Mus musculus: one gene and its partner. The main gene of each other region encodes a partner of the protein of the gene in region 2 in a complex. Links are inferred from orthologs where the notes say so. Each region holds a gene or a part of one and is shown on either strand. Other genes may lie near its edges. The genes, in order: Magohb and Upf3b.

Evidence for each region.
Region 1: Upf3b (region 2) and Magohb share a complex: the UniProt entries of both Homo sapiens proteins name them as parts of the mRNA splicing-dependent exon junction complex. The link is inferred for Mus musculus from reciprocal best matches to the Homo sapiens genes UPF3B and MAGOHB.

The regions. Positions count from the first base shown.
Region 1 is NC_000072.6:131,286,919-131,290,413, forward strand, and holds part of Magohb (protein mago nashi homolog 2), read right to left. Parts: intron 2,530-3,495; coding exon 2,471-2,529; intron 1,229-2,470; coding exon 1,118-1,228; intron 1-1,117. UniProt on the Homo sapiens protein: Required for pre-mRNA splicing as component of the spliceosome. Plays a redundant role with MAGOH in the exon junction complex and in the nonsense-mediated decay (NMD) pathway.
Region 2 is NC_000086.7:37,107,508-37,111,962, reverse strand, and holds the start of Upf3b (regulator of nonsense transcripts 3B), read left to right. Parts: upstream 1-1,640; 5' UTR 1,641-1,731; coding exon 1,732-1,887; intron 1,888-2,708; coding exon 2,709-2,815; intron 2,816-2,941; coding exon 2,942-3,048; intron 3,049-4,455. UniProt on the Homo sapiens protein: Involved in nonsense-mediated decay (NMD) of mRNAs containing premature stop codons by associating with the nuclear exon junction complex (EJC) and serving as link between the EJC core and NMD machinery.

The DNA of each region.
Region 1 (3,495 bases), on a different chromosome or scaffold from region 2:
CTTTTTCTAGAATTGATGTTCAGAAATGTTACTAAGGCAAAGGTAAATAGAAAATATCAACATTTTCTGATGCATATTACAAAGCCACCCTGTGAAAAAGTATATCAACTTATTAATGCAGACAAATCTGCATGGCACATCCTCCCTGTAGGGCAGGTTCCATAGTTTTAAAGCACTCCACTGTTCTCTGTGGACACAGATGCCCAGTGACTATTATGCTAAAGGTGGTATTCCTGTAACTCGGGTTCCCGCCGGACACAGACCACTGCCTCTGCTTCCCTATACCATGCTCTGCACTGTGTTCCTGACACAGAACAGTTACTGCTACTTTCAGCTATATTAGATCTCTCTACAGATCTTTCTTCTAGGCAAAAAGAGTAGCTCATATAAAGTATAAGCCTCAGGAACACACAAAAGTGAGATTAAATATCTTCTCTCTCGACCTTGTACCTTACTCCTCCAGGGGTTGAAAAGACCCAATTTAGAAACCAAACTGTCTATACAGAGTGAAATTGGGCCTGCCGAGATCTTTGGGAGCACTTTGAGAAATATCAATTATTCTGAAGGGAATATGAGAGGCAAACACAATGGTTCACTGGAACAAAGAAATCCATCAGATCTCTCTCTGAAACACTCAAATACATGAATTTTAAAAGACAAACAAACAATTGGAAAAAGTGAATCACTGCACTCAATGAAAAGAACCATAACATTCAAATTTAGCTAGCAATGTTGTACGCACTTACAATAGAAACAATTAATAATAGCTCATTCATAATAAATAATTCATAAATGTCAAAATACCCCAACTTTCTCTGGACTAGCTAGAGAAAAGATGTAGAATACTGTCTAAATTTAGAGCTATGCACTAACACCTGTAGTAGCTGGAGGCAGCAAAGGAAATGATGCTAAGTAAGGGCTGGGAGCTGTAACCTGGAAGGAGCATTGGCTTGCCTGGCATGTATGAACATTGACTTCAACATCTAATACCAAAATAAAAGTTTAGAAAGAATATGAAGCTATATAATCAAAGTTTCAATAAGAAACCATCCTGAAAACACAGCAACTACATTACCAACTTTGACTCTATCCACTTAAGGAGTCACTAGGCACAGACCTGCCGCCCAACCCTGTCAGGGGGTGGCCACAGAGCGTCGTCCTCTTTTGTAATTTCACTGTCGTCAATAATTCTCTTCAGTTCTTCCATTACACTCTTGTGGACATAGGCCTGAAAAGTCAGTTACAATAAGATCTTTGAACGCCTGTCTGTCTTCCCACAGTTCAGCAAGATATAATAAAAGCCAGTTCCAAGTCCTAAATATCCAAACAGAATGGGAGTGAAAAGTAAACTTGACCCCAGAGCTGCAGGATAAAATTCATCCTTCTCACAAATGCTACTCTCCCTACACCCATGTCCTTTACCACACACAGGTGCCATCTGCTCACACTAGCTGCTCTGAGGCCCCATATTCTGCCAGGGTAGTAGGGGTACCAGGCAGCTTACAGTTACAGGGCCAGTATTAGCTGTAGACTGAGGGCACAGCACAAGCACACAGGAGCTGGCACTTGAAGCCCAGCCTAACTTCCTCACCTTCCATTTAAAATTGAAACTAGGAAAGAAGATAGCATTTGAAATGTAAAAGAAAACATCTAAGAAAAAAATTTATACTTCATAAAATGAATTAAATGATATGGGCTGTAAGTATTTAGGCTGACTCCTTTGTTAAAACTGCCACCAGGATGGCTCAGTGGGTAAAGAAAGCCGAGAAAAAATACCTGCGTTCAATCACTAGAACCCATATAGTAAGAGAAAAAAAAAAACAATTTCTACCAGCTGTTCTTTGATTTCTACCAGGCATACTATGTATGTTACATGTGCATACCCATACAAACACACAATAAAAAAAAACTTTTTAAAAATGCTAAAATTGCTGGGCAGTGGTGGCGCACGCCTTTAATCCCAGCACTTGGGAGGCAGAGGCAGGCAGATTTCTGAGTTCGAGGCCAGCCTGGTCTACAGAGTGAGTTCCAGGATAGCCAGGGCTACACAGACAAATCCTGACTCGAAAAAACAGAAAAAAAAAAAAAAAAAAAAAAGCTAAAATCATATGTAATTAAAATAGAAACCTTTCAATCTATAAATTAGTTTCTTCTTGAAAGAGACCCTTGACATAACTTCAGTCAACACAGACAAGATAAATGAACAAAATGTTAAAAATTTGACATTTAAAAAGAAGTTAGCCAGAGGCAGGTGGATCTCTGAGTTCTAGGCTAGTCTGGTTGGTCTACACTGTGAGAGCCAGGACAGCAGGGCTACAAAGTGAGACCCTGTCTCAAAAAAGGAAGAAAGAAAGAAAGAAAGAAAGAAAGAAAGAAAGAAAGAAAGAAAGAAAGAAAGAAAGAGAAAAAAAAGTCAAGCATGTTTGCACGCATGCACACACACATGCATGAACAAATGAACAGAACTTGCCTCTTTTCTGATCATCACGTCATTTTTATAATTACTGTTGTTGGCATATCTAAGCTTCCCTGTGTGGAGAGAAAGAAAGAACATCATGAGTAATTAGAGGTAAAGACAATTTCATAGTCCCACTTTTATTAGTATATCTACTTTTCTCATGCAAGATCAATGCTAAATAATAAATATAAAAGCAGGCTAGTAATTCTTAAAACATTCCATACCTTCAACATAAAATGGGTCAGGTTTGTTAAGGTCTATTTGCTTTCCTTCCTTCCTTTCCTTCCTTCCTTTCCTTCCTTCCTTCCTTTGAGACAAGACCTCACTGTGTAATGAGGTTGGCAGCCTTGAACACACAGGGATCTATCCACCTGCCACTGTCTCCTATGTTTGGGGATTAAAGTTGTGCACAATAAACAGTTTTATTTTCTTAATCTAGCCCTAAACACAAAGTGACTATGTCTAAGCACTAAGTATTCTCTTCAGTGTCATATGTTAGTGGTAAACGCTGACTGCACTCACAACATTTCATCTAATCTCTAAAGGAATTCCAAGAACAGCTTTCACTTTCTCGCCTCTTCACAGGAGATAAAATCAAGTTAAGCAACTTGCAGAGCTGCAGAGTATCAAAAGGTCTGTTTTGCATCAACTCTTTCTCTATTGTTCCAAAGTACTCTCTTAATTCCTTTCCTTCATATTAGTGCATTTTGCTAATAATTTTTTTTAAACTAGGAAGCAAGCAAAGGACATGAACTGCCAAGTTTGTTAGCTGCTTTATTTCAACCCATCCTTCAGACCTCTGAAGCCCCTGGTGTGTGCTTCCCTGCATGGTGAGTCAGTTAGGGGCCCTGATACAGCTGTAATGTCTTTCTCATCTGCTAAACTGACAGGTTACCCTACTGGGGTGTACCCCTCAGGAACTGTAGATCTCATGGTTCATTATTTTCCATGTAAGTGGAACAATGCAGTGGCAGAGACGCATGAGAATAAATCCTTACATAAAATTCTCCTGATACTGTTGGAGGTCTTAATTTGAA
Region 2 (4,455 bases):
CTCTGTCTACCTAACACACAAATATGCTAGTATCAGACCCCCCCCCCCCACACACACACACAATACAGGACTACAAGAAAGACCAAAGTTTCAGCATCTGGCCAACTTAGATGAAGGTCATCCTTTGTAGCAGCAAAATTTTAGTTCTCAGGTTAGTGCAGAATATAAATGAGGGAAGCTTGCTCTCCAGACCCCATTTCTTAATTGCAACACACCATGGTTATTTTTAATCATGGTGCTGAGAACCACCTGCCCAGATCAGGAACCTGCCACACTGAGGTGGGTCAGTGCCTTGTTTCTTTGGCCACCAGCAAACTGTACTGGAGACTCCCCTCCCCTTCAGACAGACACACCAGCAAAATGCTTTATTCTTCTCTTCCTTTCTTCATTTCCTCCCTCTTTCCTTCTACAGAAAACATCTTGTTGGGTATTTCATGACCCTCCTGACTCAGCTTCCCCAAAGCAGGGACTACAGAACACGCTACCACACCTGGTTAAAGAGTCCGTTTTATTGCTCAAATTTATGGCATGTACCAACTACTAAGGCATTGTACTTCATTCTGTGAATGTATCACATCTTGCTTGTCCATTCAACTGTTAATGGGTATTTGACCTTTTTCAAAGTGAAGAAAGTGAACAGAATCAAGTTGGATATTTTCCTTTCCCCATCTTGTTGGATAACAGTGTTGGGAGAGAATTCTTTAATTTGGAAAAGAAAGAAAGGTGGTGAAAACAAATGTAATACATTTTGGTTATAATTCATTGAAATTAGTATCTTGTGTGTTTCTTGAGCATGTGTAAATCCTAATGCCTCTGAAAGTATACTTCAGTTTTAAATAGCTTTTCCTTATCTGTTTATTTACCTGATGGTTGTTTGGTTGATATACGTACGGTTCCACTATCTAGCACTAATTTGCCTGAAAGTTGCTATTTAGACCACACTTTGAATTTGTCTTGATCCTTCTCTTTCAGATTCCCCAGTGCTGCAATTATAGGCTCACGTGGCATAAAACCTTGTGGGTATTTTTTATCTGAAAAAGAAAAGCACTAAACTTTTAAGATTAAGGGATCATAGCGGGGCAGTGGTGGCGCACGTCTTTAATCCCAGCACTCCGGGAGGCAGAGGCAGGTGGATTTCTGAGGTCTAGACCAGCCTAGTCTACAGAGTGGGTTCCAGGACAGCCAGGGCTACACAGAGAAACCCTGTCTCAAAAAAACAAAACAAACAAACAAAAAGATTAAGGGATCATATATACTTAAGATGTTTATGGTATTTTTATCTGAAAAAGAATCACTAAATTTTTAAGATCAAATGATCACATATACTAAAAATCTGGATGATTCCCACATTTCTAATCCTAAACGGGCAGCTGCTTTGCATGCTGGGAGTTGTAGTCCAGAAACGAGTCGTTTCTAGACAAGATGGCGGAGTTGCTAATGACGCGCTAAGGGGCGGGCCCCGAGGGAATCTGGGCCGCTAGGGGATTGGGCAGCATGGGGACTTCGGCAGGCGGGAAGTAAAGGTCAGGTATTAAAACCCTAACCCCGAGTGAAACCGAGGGCCTTAAACTCTCGCGAGATCTCCGGGAGCCCAATGGAACGCAGGGCTCTGCTTATCACTAGGGCTATTTGTTAGGGGCGGAGCTCCTGAGGTCTCTCCCGGAGAGTCGTAGGTGCCCGGCGTAACGGCTTAGCAGCTGTGCCACCGCTCTAAAGAGCGTAACCGTGGCCATGAAGGAAGAAAAAGATCATAGGCCTAAGGAGAAACGAGTGACCCTGTTTACGCCGCAGGGCGCCACAGGCGGCTGTATTGGCGCTACTGCCGAAGGCGCCAAAGGGGACGATAGGCAGGATCGCAACAGGGACAAGAAAGAAGCTTTGAGCAAGGTGCCTATCGGGTGGTGGCACAAGAGGGCGGGACATGTCCACGGACTGGGGAGCATGGCTGGGAATGGGGCTGCTCTCTTCCTCTCCCGGGTAACTCTTCTGTTTCTAACTGAATGGAAATTGCTTCGCACTGTCTCACGCACTGGTGGAAATGGGATTAGCAGGTTCTGATAAAGCCCCCGAAATGGGGGGATGGAGGGTGGGGGTGAGGGAAAAGGAGGGTTCCCAGATGAGAAAAGGTTAGTTCAGAGCTGCGACGGTGGGGTAGTTATGAGAGAGGGGAGCAGCAGGAAAGATAGGGGAACTTTAATTGGCTTGAATTGCTAAATAGACCTTGCCACACCAGGGGTTAGGGGTGGGAGTAATTGTGAAGTACGTGTTAATGCAAGCGAGTTGGGGGAGCACATTAAGAGGATTGATGACCAACCTGGAGGAGCAGACAGATGGAGGGCGATGGGTAAAGGATTTCCGTGGTACACAGAATGGGGAAGGGAGTTCATTTAGCGCATTTTAGACCGGTGAGAGAGACAATGTCGCGACACCGACAAAAGACCAGAATTCGTTCAAAATGGGTTTTAAACTCCATTTAAGAACAGAACCTGGGATTTTCCTTGCCCCAGACAGTTGTCACTTCCAGGAGTTTGTATAAACCCGCGTTATCCATACCTTTGAGTAATTCATAGCATTGGATTGCAGGAGAATATGTTCGGTGTTTTTGTAAGTGTCTGTATTTTAGAGCCGATTATCAGAAGCCATGATTCTGGTATGCCAGAAAGTTGGCTGCTATGTACTGATTTTCCTTTCCTCGTTTGTTTCCTAAGGTGGTAATTCGAAGATTACCTCCCACTTTGACCAAGGAACAGCTTCAGGAACATCTTCAACCTATGCCTGAGCACGATTATTTTGAGTTTTTTTCTAATGATACTAGGTAAAAAAAAAATTAATATTTTACCCTCCTTTTCGCTTTTTGGGCTAGTGTCTTTAATGTGTATGTGTTTGCAATTCAGTCAGACACCTGAAACCATAGTCACGTAATTGCTTTCCGTCTCTACAGCCTTTATCCTCATATGTATGCCAGAGCATATATCAACTTTAAAAACCAAGAAGACATTCTTTTATTCAGGGACCGATTTGATGGCTATGTATTCCTTGACAATAAGGGTGAGTATACGATTTAGGAGAGTTTTTCATGGTTACATTGAACAGAGTGTGTGCTGCCACTTGCGGTATGTGCCTGTAATCAGAGCAAAGGATGCAGAAGCAGGAGGGTGACTCCAAGTTTGAGGTCAGTCTGGACTACATAGAATGACCACTGAGAGAGAGAGAAGAAAAGAGATAGGGTTGAGGAGAGGGAGGAAGGGGTGTGGGAGAGCAATATACAATGCTTTCTCCAAGTCTGTGTGGGTTAGACTTAAACTCCTTTAAGATAAAATGTGCAACATTGAAAGAATTTTTATAACCCTGAGATAGTTTTCTTAACTTATGATTTCTTTCCTTTGATCCAGTGACTATAATTACCACTGATTTCTCCTGTTTGATACTTTATACTTGTTTCAAATGTCGACTTCCTGCCTCAAAGATGCTAATTAGTATCCTTTATGTTGCTAGTCCTCAGTTAGAATACTGTTTACCTTTCTCACAAAGCTGCGGAAAACTAAAGCCTCAAATTGCATCTCCCAGGCTGGAGATGTAACGCAATGATTGATGATATGTGAGACCTTGGGTTCAATTCTCAGCATCGGCAAATAACAGGAACACACCACAGCATCCTGGGATCCAAGCTACACAATGTGTAACATTAACAGATTTCGGAATGAACTCCTGACTCACTTTCCGTTTGCTGTCTGGGGTTTGCAGGGTTTAGCTAGAATGTATCCAAGTTGCCTTTTGCCACCTTTCATTTGGTTTTTGACTCATGGACAAGTGATGTGGGGTTTCCTGTCTGTTTTCATTTCCTCAATTACTTCAAGTTTGCAAATAGTAAATCCTTGTTGTGGAATATGCCTGATAACAAGTTGAAGGCTTGACAACTGTGTTTGTCCAATGTATATACACTTAGGGTCAAATAAGGTTCTCTCACCGTGCCAACTTTTACTCTTTGCTACATTGTAACTCGTGCCTAACACACGGTGCCTAATTATCCCATTTCCCAAACTGTCTTTATTTTTTCCTGACCAGCCTTTTTTTTTTGTTTTGTTTTGTTTTTGTTTTTTCTTTAATTCCAGACAGGGTTTCTCTGTATAGCCCTGGCTGTCCTGGAACTAATTCTGTAGACCAGGCTGGCCTCGAACTCAGAAATCCGCCTGCCTCTGCCTCCCAAGTGCTGGGATTAAAGGCATGCACCACCATGCCCGGCTATGACCAGCCTTTTTATTCTAGTAGATAACAATGATTTCTTATTTAGCTTCTATTGACTTATTATCCTCTTAATCAGTTTTATTACCTGCATGTGTTTATTTTGTGTGTCTTTAGGCTATGGAACATGTGGTCTCCCTTCCACCATGAGGGTCTTGGGACTTGAACTCAGATCATCAACCTTGGTGGCAAGTGCTGTTACACACTGAGCCC